Daphnia pulex: one gene and its partner. The protein of the gene in region 1 binds, or shares a complex with, the protein of each later gene. Links are inferred from orthologs where the notes say so. Each region holds a gene or a part of one and is shown on either strand. Other genes may lie near its edges.

The links.
Region 2: WASH complex subunit 4-like (region 1) and WASH complex subunit 3-like share a complex: the UniProt entries of both Homo sapiens proteins name them as parts of the WASH core complex. The link is inferred for Daphnia pulex from reciprocal best matches to the Homo sapiens genes WASHC4 and WASHC3.

What each region holds. Positions count from the first base shown.
Region 1 is NC_060026.1:1,372,548-1,380,349, forward strand, and holds WASH complex subunit 4-like, read right to left. Parts: upstream 4,596-7,802; 5' UTR 4,421-4,595; coding exon 4,357-4,420; intron 4,290-4,356; coding exon 3,772-4,289; intron 3,706-3,771; coding exon 1,769-3,705; intron 1,696-1,768; coding exon 1,430-1,695; intron 1,360-1,429; coding exon 758-1,359; intron 699-757; coding exon 612-698; 3' UTR 477-611; downstream 1-476. Other genes in the region: uncharacterized protein LOC124204736, read left to right, coding at 38-84, 155-349; protein Wnt-2b-A-like, read left to right, coding at 5,640-5,716, 6,227-6,465, 6,544-6,824, 6,952-7,240, 7,447-7,709. UniProt on the Homo sapiens protein: Acts as a component of the WASH core complex that functions as a nucleation-promoting factor (NPF) at the surface of endosomes, where it recruits and activates the Arp2/3 complex to induce actin polymerization, playing a key role in the fission of tubules that serve as transport intermediates during endosome sorting.
Region 2 is NC_060025.1:877,392-884,066, forward strand, and holds WASH complex subunit 3-like, read left to right. Parts: upstream 1-3,731; 5' UTR 3,732-3,841; coding exon 3,842-3,892; exon of another isoform or gene 3,893-3,959; coding exon 3,960-4,124; exon of another isoform or gene 4,125-4,165; intron 4,166-4,246; exon of another isoform or gene 4,247-4,360; coding exon 4,361-4,738; 3' UTR 4,739-4,853; downstream 4,854-6,675. Other genes in the region: bacchus-like, read right to left, coding at 942-1,040; 60S ribosomal protein L44, read right to left, coding at 2,870-3,007, 3,075-3,248, 3,601-3,603. UniProt on the Homo sapiens protein: Acts as a component of the WASH core complex that functions as a nucleation-promoting factor (NPF) at the surface of endosomes, where it recruits and activates the Arp2/3 complex to induce actin polymerization, playing a key role in the fission of tubules that serve as transport intermediates during endosome sorting.

The DNA of each region.
Region 1 (7,802 bases):
GTTTTTCGGTTGTTGTACACTTTCAACGAACCGTTAGATGGCACCAGGGAGAAGCTAGTCATCCGAACCTGTACCCTGGAAAACGTAAATATATAAATAATAATAATAATATTATAAAAAACAAACAAACAATTTGAATTTTTTAAAATTACAGATGGAGAACCAGTGCGGAGAATTCAAATACGAACACGAAAGTCTGGCCGGATGCATTCTGACTTGCCAGAGCGACGGATGCAATGCGGCAACCAAAAACCTGATGCTGCCCAGTTTCGCCACCGCTTCCTCATTCTTCCTCATCTACAGCGCAATAACTCTACTAGTCAACGCGTCACCATCAGCATCAGTCTGATGATGAACCGGAAAAACAATTTCCTAAATGAAAAATTCAACGTACAATTTTTAAATAATTCAAGTCGAAAATTTGTTTTCTTCCGTCGTCATTTCTTTGTGGGGTTTTTCTCGATCCGAAAAAATAATCCTTTTTCCATTGTATTTAATATTAATTGTAAACAAAATGAAAGTAAATGAAAAAGTGTTTCACCGCTTTCGATTGGTTAATTCTAATAAACTTGTTCGATCCACGACGGTGTTATTTGAGAATGTGAAAGAGACTAGATGGAAGATGCTGGAATAACGGGCCGTTCGTGGCGGAAAAAGATCCTGGCGCTGTTCAAGTTGTAGAATAACAAATCAAATTCCTGTCAAACGAATAAAAATCATAAAATTATGTGACAAGGATTTGATTTCCAGCTTTTACCTGTCGATAAGTTTCTAATCGGTGGAGGGTCAGACTCAGCGTGTCCTGACTGGCCTGCGATTGGAGTCCGGCCATTTTCCTTTCGCGCTCGAAAAATTCCCTGACGGATGAGAACCACTGCAGGGCGTCGAAATCCTTCCACTGGTCCAGAACGGAGAGGCAGTAAGCCAATCCCATGGCCAGTCCGTCGTCGGTGAAGGTGCACGTTTCCTGCTTGTTCTTCTTCATCAGCTTCTCCTTGCAGGTGACGATGTGTTCGACGTAGTTGACCGTCAGCGGCGGAACGATGACGTAAAAATGGCGCAAGTGAGAGTGGCGAGGATCGCGGAAAAACGGCCGGAAGACGTCCACCAGCAGTTTGAAATAGTCGGAACTCTCGGATAGATTCTGAGCCAGATCGTCCAGCACCTTGTCCAGGGCTTTGCTGGACAGTTCGGATAGGCTAGAGAGAGCCGGATTAGATTTAGCTAAGGATTCGAATAATCCATCGGCCATGTCCATCGTATCGTTGTGGTTTTTAAGGCTACTGGCACTGCTGCCCAGTTGATGATCCAGTCCAGTTTCATTGAGATAAACCAATTCCGCCAAATCCGGAACCGGAGCTGGCAAAAAAAAAAATAATTCATTTTGTGTTGAACATCTTTTTAATCCGGCCGGAATGATGAATAATACCACAGGATTCGGCACTGCAATGGATGGATCCACTTCTCAACATCCTGACGTAGCCCAAAGCGTTTCCGAGATGGGTAATGAGTATGCGGAATTGGTCCAGATAACTCAATCCGATGGAATTGAGTCCCAATTTGCGGATGCCCCGATGGAACTTCTCGGCGCGCTCGTACGGATATCGGAGTGCCGAATCTTTGCCTTGGCTCAGCTCGCGCAAATAACGAGCATCTTTCATCAGCCGCGACTTGATGTGCTCGTCGTACAGGAACCTTTTTTGGGCGGGAAAAATTCAAACGGTTCAACATTTAAAAAATAAAATAAAAGTCTGAAAATTTCATTTACTGAGAAAAGACGAAAAACTTTTTGCGGAGAAACTGGTAGGTGAAATTGACGGCCGTGTTGACGACGCCGGACCCGTGGGTCCTGATGGAATTGGCCGCGTGTTTGATGCCGATCGTGCTCAAGTGTTTGCTGGTGCTCGACTGCTCGACAAAGAACTGGTTGTTGAGATTGTAGCCGAAACGGGCCACAAACAGGTGAATGTTGCGCATGATTTCCAGGACGTCGAGCCCTTGCTCCAGGGTCTGGCTGGGCAGCCGGTCGGGCAGCGGCTTCAGGTTGAAAGCCAATCCGGCCAAGAGTCTCATCTGGCCGTACTTGCGCCAATCGTGAGAGGCCAAAGCGGCCAGATTGTAGAACGTCTGGCCGAGATAGTGTTCCACCCGGTGGGGAACGCTCAGCTGCTCGTGCCGGCCCAGGGGCAAGTCGCCCAGGGCGCTCAAACAAGGCGACTCTTTGAACGGGTTGCGGGGCGTCGGGTGGAGATGGGCGTGCGACTGGATCCGTAATTCCGTCTCGACCGAGGCGCACAGGGGCTCCAAAATATGGACGTCCAGGGCTCGGCGGATGAATTTCTGATGGCCTTCCACCAGCTGTCGAGGATTGGCCAGATGCTTGACGCTGGCCAGAGCCGATTCACAGTCCATGACGGCCATCAGAGTCTGTCCAATCCGGGACGATTCGAAGCGTCTTTCACGGGCTTCCGGCAGGTAAGTGTTGAGGAGAGATTTGTGCCAGTAAAAGACTTCGCAATCGGCCAGGTAACTCAAGCGGTGGCGTATGCCAACGGAAAGCAGCTCCATCTTCTGGAGGCGATGGGCCAGCAAGGACAATTCTTCGTCCTGGAAGGCGGTGCAGGCTATGGCCAGCGAAATCCTGGCCGTCGAAACACGGGATGATGTGCAGGGACCTTTCAGGACTCGCTGGGCCAACGCCAGAGCCGCGCTGACCGTCTTCCGGGGACGTTTCTTGCTGCTCTTCTCGCCGGCTAATCGCTTGGCGGCCAACTGGACTACGTCGGAGACGGAACGACGGAGCTGCTGTTGCAGGTGCATCCAGGCTTGAGGGTAATCCGTCAGCTGTTTCTCGATGGCCTTTTGCAAGGTCTTGATGAGCTCAAACGTCTGAAAGGCGGCCATGACTGTGCCTTTGGAAATGACTGGCTGGATGGCCAAGTGGAGGTTCAATATCAGACGGACGACGCCGCTCAGTTTGGCCACGTAGCGAAGTCCCTGCAGGACCAAACAGCACTGATTGGTCAATTCTTCTTGACTGTTGACGTGCTGGCCGCTCAGCCTCGACAGCCAGAGGACGATTTTCGTGTTCCACATTTGAAGGTCTTTGGCCAGCTGCTGGGAACGCTGGCGGACGTACTGGAACCGGGCAGAGCCGACACTTTCCAGCATTTTGCTATCGACGGCCCGGTCTCCACGGGGTAGATAGAGCGACAAGAATTGGTCAGGGAACCACAGACACGACCCGACCAGAGGGACGGCCATGATGGAATTTTTGGCGACATCCAGGATGGTCTTGAGCTGGCGGTTGTCCACTTTCAGGCCAATGTGAGCGTGCAGGACAAACAGGCAGACGATGCTGAGGAACTTTTGCATGTTCTCGTAATTGTCCCGCTCGCCTTCCTTGTCCAGACGGAACGATAATTCTTCGAGGAAGCCCTTGACGTTGGCTGAAATCTCGTCCAGCAAGACTTTGTTGTTGCTGGTGGGGAAACTCTGGTTCATGCATCGGAGGAAGAGCGTGCCCGAAAGAGTTTTCTCGGTGATTTCGTCGAGCGACAAGTCCAGCAGCCGCAAATCTTCCGGCGTCGTGTCGAAATTGGAGGCGTTGTGTTGAATGGATCGAACTACATGCTGCAGCTGAGCAACATGTTCCCTCAGCAAGTTGTTTCGGTTAATGATGGAATCCAAATTCACAAGGATTGACTGAAAAGCAAAGAGTGTGTGTTAGTTTCGGGATATTTTTGAGAGAAAAGTTGAGAATTAAAATACCAGCACACATCCCATTCTTTCGAAAATGATTTTGAAATGGGTTTCGCCAATCTCAAAGTATTTTGGTCCAGCGTCTGAGCTGCAGTACAATCTTGAAAGCTGGCCCACCATGTTTTTGATCACTTTGTAGCAATAGTTGACGTAGCTCAACAACTTTTGCAATGTTTCGACCATTCTACCGGCACATGCATGGCCCTCTCCAGACTGCAGAGCTTTCTCGTCCACACCCTCACCGTAATAGAGGAGAGGGTAATAGAAGGACCTCCCCTCTTCAACCAGAAAGTCCATCTCGCTGACTAAATGCCCCAAAGCCAGGACGACTTTTCTCAGCTCTTCGTGATCAGAGTGGACAAGGTCGACTAGGGAGATGTCTTCGCTGGGAACTAAATCCAGACTGACTGTCTGACTGACATTTTCCTTGCTCAAATTTTCGTGAATTTGACACACAGCTTCCAGATCCGAGCCACACTTGACCATGAACTCGCTATATTCTCTTGCAACATATTCTTTGGCCACCTCTACATTAAAAAAAGGGCAAAAGATTAGTGAAACTGATTACCACAACTAAAAAAGAAACCAACTCACTTTCTGCGGCATATCTCCCATACTCGTGGTTGGAAACTGTCGAGTTCCCATTCATCCCTACCATTTTCAAAATCAAAGCAACACGATATTTCAATAAAAATCAATTAAATCATTTAAAAAACGCCCGTGACTATAATAACACGTAAACAAGCTCTGGAAACACAAAAAAATAATCTGAATCTTCAAATTCTCGGAATACCAAAGTCGTCTGCTAGATCACAAAGTTGCCAGATGGGATTAAATCGAAACAGTTCCAATTTTTCCAAATTGGTTAATTTACATCTTTCGATGATGTAACATTAGTGTAACAAGGGTATTGAGATAACAAAGAATAACTGTGACGTAACAACTATAAATGGTCAATCGAAAAACATTTTGATGTGTTTCTGGCGAAATGGTTTCCCACGGTCTAAAACATCGTGAGAAAATAGATTACGGGGAACCTGGGCCCAGCAATCGATTGGGGGTGGTGGATTAATCTCTCCCCCTCACCCCAATCCAATATGATGAAAACTAATGACGCCGGGTTGATCTTGTTTTATACAACCCCAGTGGGAATTACGAGAGGAGTTAGACGGTGGGGTGAATTATTCGCACCACCCCGAAATGTCTGGGTGGGTGCCACATTCTTTCCTGGACAACCGTACTACTGGGCAAATGGTGAGAAAAAAGTGAACGCGCAAGGTCACCCACACCGGACAGGTCCAGCAGCAGTAGCATAGATATACAGCGGCTCGATTTAAACAACCCACCTGAGATATGCCAAGGGTCTCGACGGATCGGACATAGCGGATGAGGTGCGAAATCGAAGAATTTTCTCACGATTCCGCCCCAGTACCCAAAAATTATTAATTGTAACTTGTGAATCTATATATCCTGGGCGCCCGTCTTTATTTTATTTCGCTCCACCCACACACAGACATCACCCAACCCTCTTGGTCCACCTAAGTATATGTAGCCGGACTGGGTGGCCCAAAGTATTTATTCCCGTTCTGGCCATCGGCCGAGTATCACCACCAGCTACTTGCAGCACCACCACCAGTTCTTTTCAACTTTTCAAAACTTTCACAGTCAATTTATCCCCCAAACAGAAAATCGTAACACTTGTACGGCTTTGTTTATATTTTGTTAGTTTAGTGGCCGGCCAGTTCTATGTGTGTGTGTTATGGTGGCTCACTGATTGATTGATTTCTTCCCGAGTGATTGAGAGGATTCAGTGTGTGTGTGTCTATACTGTTAACGGATTTCTTGTATCTAATCAACTCATCGCCCAATCAAAGAGAATGCGCTGTCACTGGATCAGCAGTGTCTTATTCCTGGCCGTCATCACCATTCCACAATTCGCTTCGTCCACTTGGTGGTAAGTTGAGAGATATCGTTTGTGAGTGAGTGCTGGGCTTAAGTATATAGATTTCCCCCTACCTGGACGGTGAAGCGGATGGGAAAGGGGTTAACCGATTTAGGGAAGTTGCACTAGTGCTGGATGGCCGGCAACGTTTATAACGAAATTTTCTAGGATAGTGAGAAACGGTGACAGCCATTTTGCTAGGGTTGCTTCTCTATGCTATATAATCCTGAGGGTTGAAGGGTGTCTCAATTTCACGTTCGCTCGATTGCGTCTATGCGATAAGAGCGTGAGTGCGTGTAAATAAGGCTTCCGTAATTACTTATAAAGATACCACCGCTCAGCTCAGCTCTCGTAATAAGGTAGAGACCAAATCCCCTGGACTATGTGTATAGGTATCATCATAGCATATCGGTCAAACTTTTGGGCACGGATATTATAAACCAATTAGCATATTTTAACCAAGAAAATAAAATAAAAAAACCCTTTTTCTGATTTTATTTTTCTTACCATTTTTTGGCCCAGGTTTTTGAGCAAATTTCAACTGGGCACGGCGGCTAATCCGCGGATGTATTGCGATCACATTCCGGGCATGGAGCGGAAGCAGAGACGACTCTGCCAGAAGCATCCGGATCACATGGTCCAGGTTGGCGAGGGAGCCGCCACCGGAATCAAAGAGTGCCAATTCCAATTCCGCCAGCACCGATGGAATTGCTCCACCATCGACAGGGACGCCACCGTCTTTGGCAAATCCCTGGTCAAATGTAAGACTCTAATTTATCTTGTATGTACATAAATTTAAAATAAAACTAAACTTGAATCATTTTTTGGGGTTTAAACAGCCGGAAGTCGAGAAGCGGCTTTTGTGTACGCCATCAGCTCGGCCGGCGTGGTCCATTCGATCTCTCGGGCCTGCAACCGCGGCGACCTATTGAACTGCGCCTGCGACAAGACAAGACTGGGCAAGCACCACGACCAGCAAGGCGAATTCGCTTGGGGCGGATGCTCCACCAACGTCCGCTACGGAAGCAATTTCGCCCGTCAGTTCATCGATGCCCGCGAGCGCAAGATGAGAGACTCAAGGGCCTTGATGAACCTCCACAACAACCGAGTCGGTCGAAAGGTAATTTAATTTTCACTGGCAATTTCAATCGAAATTAACAAATTATTCAACTAAAAAATGAAATAATTAATAGTTAAATGAATTAATATAAATGAATTAAATGAAATGAATTGATTTGAATTGATAGGCTCTTCACAAATTGATGAGGCATCAATGCAAATGCCACGGAGTGTCGGGCGCCTGCAACGTCCGCACTTGCTGGACGACACTTCCGGAATTCCGCGAAGTCGGCGCTTACCTGAAGGAGAAATACGACGCCTCGCTGGAGGTCAGTTCCGACCCGTCGGGCACGACCCTCATCACGGCCGACCATCTCAACGACAACCGCAAGAGTCTCAAGACCAATCCGCCGCAAGTTCACGATCTCGTCTACCTGGAACACTCGTCCGATTACTGCTCCTTTGATCCCCTCACTGGTGAGTTCAACAAAAAATGCTAATTTGATTCAATCAAATTCATTTAAATATTCAAATAATATTTAAATGAATTAACCAAATAATTCTTTATTAAAATATTCATATGAATTAAAATTAAAATATTCAAATTAGATTTAAATTTTATTATTTAAAAAATATTGAAATGAATTAAAACCAAATTATTTATTTTTAAATTTAAAATAAAGGTTCGATCGGGACGGCCGGAAGACCGTGTAATAAAACCTCGAAAGGTATCGACGGATGCGATTTGCTGTGCTGCGGACGCGGTTACGACACGAGGCGAGTGCTGGTGTCGACGCCGTGCAATTGCACGTTCAAGTGGTGCTGCTCGGTCGAGTGCAAGACGTGCACCCAGTGGAAGGACGAGCACTTTTGCAAGCCGCTGCAGTCGTTCGAACTCAACAAATTCAACGCCACCAAACAGCAGCAGCAGAATCAGAAGAAATGACACAACCGAATTAAATATTGAATTTTGACTAGACAACAACAAAAAATAATTTCCAGATATTATTATGTTATTATGAAGTATTTCTTCTTTTTT
Region 2 (6,675 bases), on another chromosome or scaffold:
AACTGCCTCGAGGTACTAAAACGGTCGAAATGAAAATAATGAAAAATAAAAGTTTAAAAACTGAAAAAGCCACCTGCCGGTTTCTATCAAAATAACTACCTAAAAATGACACGTGAAACTAAACTTGTATCAATTTAATTTGAGCATTTTTAGGCTGTGAAAGATAAACGAGTAAAAACGCTGTTGGTCGCTGTCAAAATGCCCGCGCGCAGTCTCTGCACCACCAACGAGAAATAAAAGCCGGCCGCTTGGCGTCATCGGTTCGATACCGAAAACTGCCGGTCGTGTGTGTGTGACTGGAGATTAACAATTTCAGTGAAAATAAATTCACGACATGTATCAAATGCATGAAAAATTACTTATTAAACATGTCATAACGACGGGACAATGACCTGAAGAAACTATCATGTACAACATAACAAATAAATGGAAAGTTATGTGTGTGTGGTGGAAGGAAGCTAAGGCAGCCCCAGCTTAAGGACAAACATGGCGGCGCGTCATCGCGCGCACACACACACACACACCGGCTTTTCGAGAGAGAAGTGAAAGGCTATCAAACTCAACGGCAACTCTGCTCAACGCGCCAAAATTCTCGAGTCCAACGCTCGAATTCGACTCTGACCAAATAGTTGTCACATAATTTCCCAAATATCTAATGATTACGATCCCTTTTTCTTAAAGAGTAAATATTCCAACAACAGTCATGGCGACGGGATAGAGCGTGGGGCTCAAGCCGGCCCCAGACACACGCACTCAACACACTACACACATACACACACACACACACACAAATGGCGGCAAGCACGCGGCGCGTGGGTTCTCGAGTTGATCCTTAATTTAGCCATAACGAAACCCCTCTTTTCCAACAAATTTCCTCGTTACAGACTTATTCAGAGCCGACATGAAGACAATGTAGTAAATAACAAAAAGATGGAACTTACTTCTGCTGGCCGTTTTGTGCCTTTGACTGCATCTTTCTTGGCGTCGGCGGCGATGACTTCGTCGGCTTCAACTTCCTTCGTTGCTTCCTTGGAACTCATTTTGTTTGGAGGTGTGTTGTTGTTGGTTGGTTGAGCGTGAATATTTAAGTGAGACGAAATCGAGTGGATTTTGCTCGACCGGTTCGAAAAATTATTTTAAAAAAGACTAAGAGAAGATGGAGAGTGCCTTAAAAAAGGAAGTTTGGCGCGTTCGCAAGAGTCTCTGCTTTCGAGGTGTTATAGACGGGACGGTGTAGAGCACACTGGTGGGGCCCCAAGTCTTTGGTGACTTGCATCGCCTTGTATCGGCCTCTAGCGGGGGGGTTGTCCTTAGCCTCGGGTTTTCGGTGGCAAAGCGCGTCCCTTTTGCATTTCGTGGCGTCTAGATCGAATCACAAGACCCCTGTTGTATACCAGCGCTCCAGCTGGATAAACTCCGCCCATTCCACTCTTTTCATTATGGGGAGAGAGGGGGGTAGAGGGGGTGGTAGGGTGGGGTTGGAAAAAGGTACCTTAAAAAACTCGGCTCTCCAAAGAGAACATATAGCCGTGTCGATATATTATATGCGCTGGGCTAGCCACGCTGCTACCCAGATGGCTCTGCTTGGAGAGTCCATTTTTCCCCTTCCTTCTCTCCATTCCTAGGTCTTCCAAGGTATTACCACCAGTATTAAAATATATATATATATCTCTCGCATGTATGCATATATACACTACTATACTATACCGGTATACTCAATGAGTGAAGCGTGGGGTGGTCAAAAAAGAACCAAGTCGAATATCCCCTCAAGCATAGCGAGAAAAAGCCGGTTCTGTGTAGCGTGGTCTCACTCTCGTACTTGGGATTTTCAACTCGGAAACTTTCCCACTGAAATTTTTCGAATTAAAAATAAAACTCTTGTTTTCGAATCGGTTAGCCGAAAGATAAATGAGAAACTCGCCGAAGCAGATTAGTAACTAGCACGTCACTAGACGTCGGTTGCACCACCAGCGTGATTTTTTAACCCCTCTACCGGCCATATTTTTACTGGTTTATATATCATGGGTAGTAGTTGTCTAGGCGGCGGATTGAGAATCCGCGCGAACCAGAAAACAAAGAAACGCTCATCTCACGTCTCTCCCTCATCTCCCGAAAATACCGGGTAGTTGACGTTCTTCCAACTAAAAGATAATAGCCTTATCTTCTCTTTATCCCCTACAGACGCTCAAAGCGTGGTCTACAACTAGATTGTTTGCATCAAACAGATAAATGGAAAAACTCTTATAATTCGTAACCGACTTGTTTATAACACACTTGTCATTTCTTTTTTTTCGAAATTATTTACTCTTCAACGACATTTTTCAAGTATTCTCGTACACTAAGAATGACCGGAAACTCGTTCACACGCATTTTAACAGACGCCATTGAATGCTTCACTCTTTTTCTATTCTTGTTCTCTCGCCATCTACAATCTTCGTTTTCTCTTCGACATGTACACCGCGAACGCGTCAACCAATGACGAAGAGTTTTCCTTATCGCTTTTTAGACGATCGAAGCGTTCAGTCTAACCGTCCGATTGTGGTGTCGAGTTGGAATCATCACTCACAGATGGCGTGATGGGCTTCACACTACTTTTCAAGAGCTAATTAGGATAAAAACTAAGGCAACTCTTAACTACTAAGAGCAAAGCTAGATTTAACTAAAGCTAGCAGATTTCTCACATGAATACTTGGAATCAATTGGTTGATTTTTCACCTAGCAAATATTTGAAATCAATAAATACCCAAATGTCTCGCATGGAGCCATTTCCCTACATTATCATAGGGATTAAGGAAAGTAATGAAGACTAATAACAGACTATAGGCGCCAAAGATGTTGTATTGGCCAGCACAAGGTGATGACAAACAGTCTAGAACTGAATCATCTGTCCCTTCCTCTTCTTGTCACCTCCAAGTTCAAAGTGCTTGCAACGCTTGAGGGGGATCTGCTTGCGGACTTTGCATTCTGAGCACTCCATCCTCAGGACAATCTTTTTAGTGGTCTTGGCCTGCGTAATTCAACAATGAGAAGCATTAGTACACAATTCAAGTGAACCAATCTTTAAGTCTTCATACCTTCTTCCTGAAAATAGGTTTGGTTTGACCACCATAACCCTTTTGTTTTCTGTCGTAACGACGACGACCCTGGGCAGCACTACGCTCCTTGGATTTCTTGTACTGCGTCACTTTGTGGACCTTGTGGGTCTTGCATTTTTTGCAGTAGGTGCGACGACTCTTTGGTACGTTCACCTAAAACGAGATCAACAAGTCATGAGCCGGTGTTTTCGACAACAAATTATGACAGTTTAAATGCACAACATACTTAACAACCACATACTTACAACTACAAAGAGAAATTTACACCTTAAACTTTTAAGTAATGCTAGTATTAACAGTCAAAATAACATGTCTAGTCAAGGTATCCATATGACAGACAGAGTGACAAAACAGATTTTATACCAGTCAAACGAAAAGTCTACCAATTGACACAGAATGCTAATAAACATCATCGAATTCTACTGCAAAAAGAGATGCTATATAAACATATAAGATGGTTAAATATCAAAGGATGTTGCGAGATATTAAATCGACGAGACTATACCATTTTCGGACGAACAGGCGAACGAAGTGGAAATGAGACAGAATTCTCTCCTCCGGATTGCAAGTGAACAACAGAGTTGCCTTGTTCCTCAAATAATTCGACCGCTGCGCCTGAAGGGGATGGATTCTGTGTCGTCTGCTAGAAGAAAAACAAAACAATCAAACGCGACATTTATCCCATGGATGTGATTTAATAATTCGTATATTCCACGTCGTTCTAATCAAGGAAGAAATACTAAGGGATGGAAAATAAAGGACTACCTTTTTTCGGTCCTACTGTCGAGTTCTCTTCGGTTCGTTTGTATTTTTCATTTTCGTTTAAATTGGATGATGGCAGTAACACATTTTAATGTTTGACAGGTTCCGCCCATCGAAACTAAAAGAATTTTGAGCTATTTCAACCAGTTTGTTTCCAATTCAGTTCAGTTACTAAACAAATTTGCAATTATATGTGATACCAAATTGCTGGATCTCAACTTTCGACTACAAGATGTTGAAGCCACATTAGCCATTCTCGAAGCAAAGGTAAATTCCTTCATTTAAACATTTCAATTCCACCAGCTCTTCTTTAAAGATGCATAAATAGGGAAAATTGGTATGAAATTAAATTTTCATGAGAAACAAATTTAGATTAAGCAAGACCATACCTACTCAGTTATTTAACAATACATGTCGAGCCAACTCACTCAAGTGTATCACTTTGGGGTATGTTTATCATTTATAGACAATGAATGGCTGATTCTTTTTTCTTTTGAAAACAGTTGGCTTCAGTTCCTGCACTGGAAACTACTTCAATACCGGCCATCCCACCTACAGTGCCTGCCACCAGCTCAGAATCTGTACCAGTGGCTGCAAGCGTTCAGATCCTTCCATCCGCCGTTCCACCAGTCTTTCCTGAAGATGTTTCTAGCGTCCACCAGACGGCGGTGGCGCCTCCGAATCCCGAAATCCTTCGGTTCGTCAAAATGCTTGCCTTTGGGGTTCCGTTAATGGCCGTCGAGCAGAAAATGCGAGCAGAAGGTTACGATCCATCGCTGCTCAACAGCGGCAAAGTTGACGTCACCAAGGCCCCACCAGCACCGCGATCAACCCATTCGAGCTCCGACGACGACGAAGAATCAAACAGCGACGACTATTAACACAAATAACAATTAATCATTTTCCCCGAGACTTATGAAATTTCAGTCTTATCGTGCCTGTATACTTGATGCATGGAGAAAGGATTCCGATCATACATAGACATAATCAATTCTCGATCGACGGTTGTAACCGGAGAGCCTTGATGAGAGAGTCCGAACGCGTGATGATTTATATGTTTGGCCCCACGTATAGACAATATACCACAACAACAACAACAACACTCTTGAATAATGCATGTCAAGAAAAAGAGTCACGGGCCCAGCACTCAGGCCGATTGCCAAGACTCGTACGTCCTTGAGAAAAGCTTCCAGTTGTGCGTTAGACGGGAGAGATGATCTCTCCGGACAGCCCACACGAGGATCCCGACAGCCAACCCCACCACTCGGCAGATCCAGCAGTTTCGACGTATCAAAGCCCCCCCCGCATATTGATTTGACAATGACACAAACAGGCCTCTAATATCGTGTTAGTGCTGCAAATCGTCGGTTGGGTTGGTTTTTTTAAATTTTTATTTTTTTTTTCATCCTCTCCCAGTCGAGTCAATAAAATGAAATGCAACTAAAAAGGGGTGGTGTATTTTTAGATAACACGGACCCGGCGAGTTTAATTTTAAAACAAGCTCGTCGCCCAGCTGTACACCTCGGAACTCTGGAGAAAAAGAAAAGAAGAAACTTGGAGCTCTTTTCTCCTAGAGTCAAACATTTTCCACGAAACCTATACACACACACAACACTCTTGGATATCGTAACATAACATTCAAATGTAAACATTGGTCTCTTATATGTATAGGTCCGAGTGGCAAGAAGAGAAAAACTTTGGCCCATTTGGAAAATAACAAGAACCCCATTTCTTCTAGCTCGCAGAGTGTGTGGTGTGGGGGCATCCGGCGGGCAACAGTAGCAGCCCATTGGACCCGATTTTGAGTTTCTTTTCTTTTATAAACGGAGACCGTCGACGACTAGCGTCCGTGGCAGGAGCGAAATGTGGAGCACGGCCGTGCTAAACTTAGAGCCTCTTTTTACCTAGCGACTGACTCACGACTCTATTTGTGTCGGTGATGCGGGCGCGGTGGGTGTCGATCGTCCCGACAACTTCAAGACAAACACACACACACACACTTACTTACTTGTACACACGATATATACTGGCTTGATATGTTTCAGCTGGGCTACAAGCGTGTGATTCATTTGAAGCCCAGGGATTGCTGGGAGAACTATTCGATGAGTCTTAACGGACAACATTTGAACGTTGATACGCACGCACGGCGTCAGCGATGAGCCACACCGCAATTTTGTTTTTGCTTTTCTTTTGTCCTTGGTGGCTCAAAGATGTGTAATCGATCCTGGAATGGACCGCGTCTATTTTCGGTTGGGAAAAATACAAACGAGAAGAAGAATGAAGATTCCTGATGATCTTTTTGTGCGCGCGGGGGTTTTAGATGGTTTTAAAAGCGATTCAGGAGCGATATCTTTGATGCTCAACACCTACTTGGGAGCAGTCGAAAGGAGGAGCCCTGCAGGAATTGAAAAGGATCTATGGGATCCAACCTTCTATCTCATATTGAGGTCTAACAAATTCTTCAAAGGAGGCCACACCAAAAATTCAAAGGCCAAGAATATCAGACAGCTCATTAGCTAAATGGCGGCTGACCCTTTTGCGGCGGTGTCCCGAGTGTGTGGCACTTTCCAGCTGGCACGGCCGGGAAATGGCTTTTTGCGTGACCCCGTCCCTTGGCTGGCTGTTGGCGTGCCATCTCATTTCCATAGTGGTTCCACAAAGGAGCTGATCATCTAGCAGGACGGGGGGGTTTCGTCATCGCGGGAGAGAGAGAAATGCTTCTCGTTCCAGGCGCAACTTTCTCAAGTCACACCCACAATTTGTGCGTCTGGAATCCTTCCGCCGGTATAGTAGCAGCGTCTAGCCGGCCCTATATTTG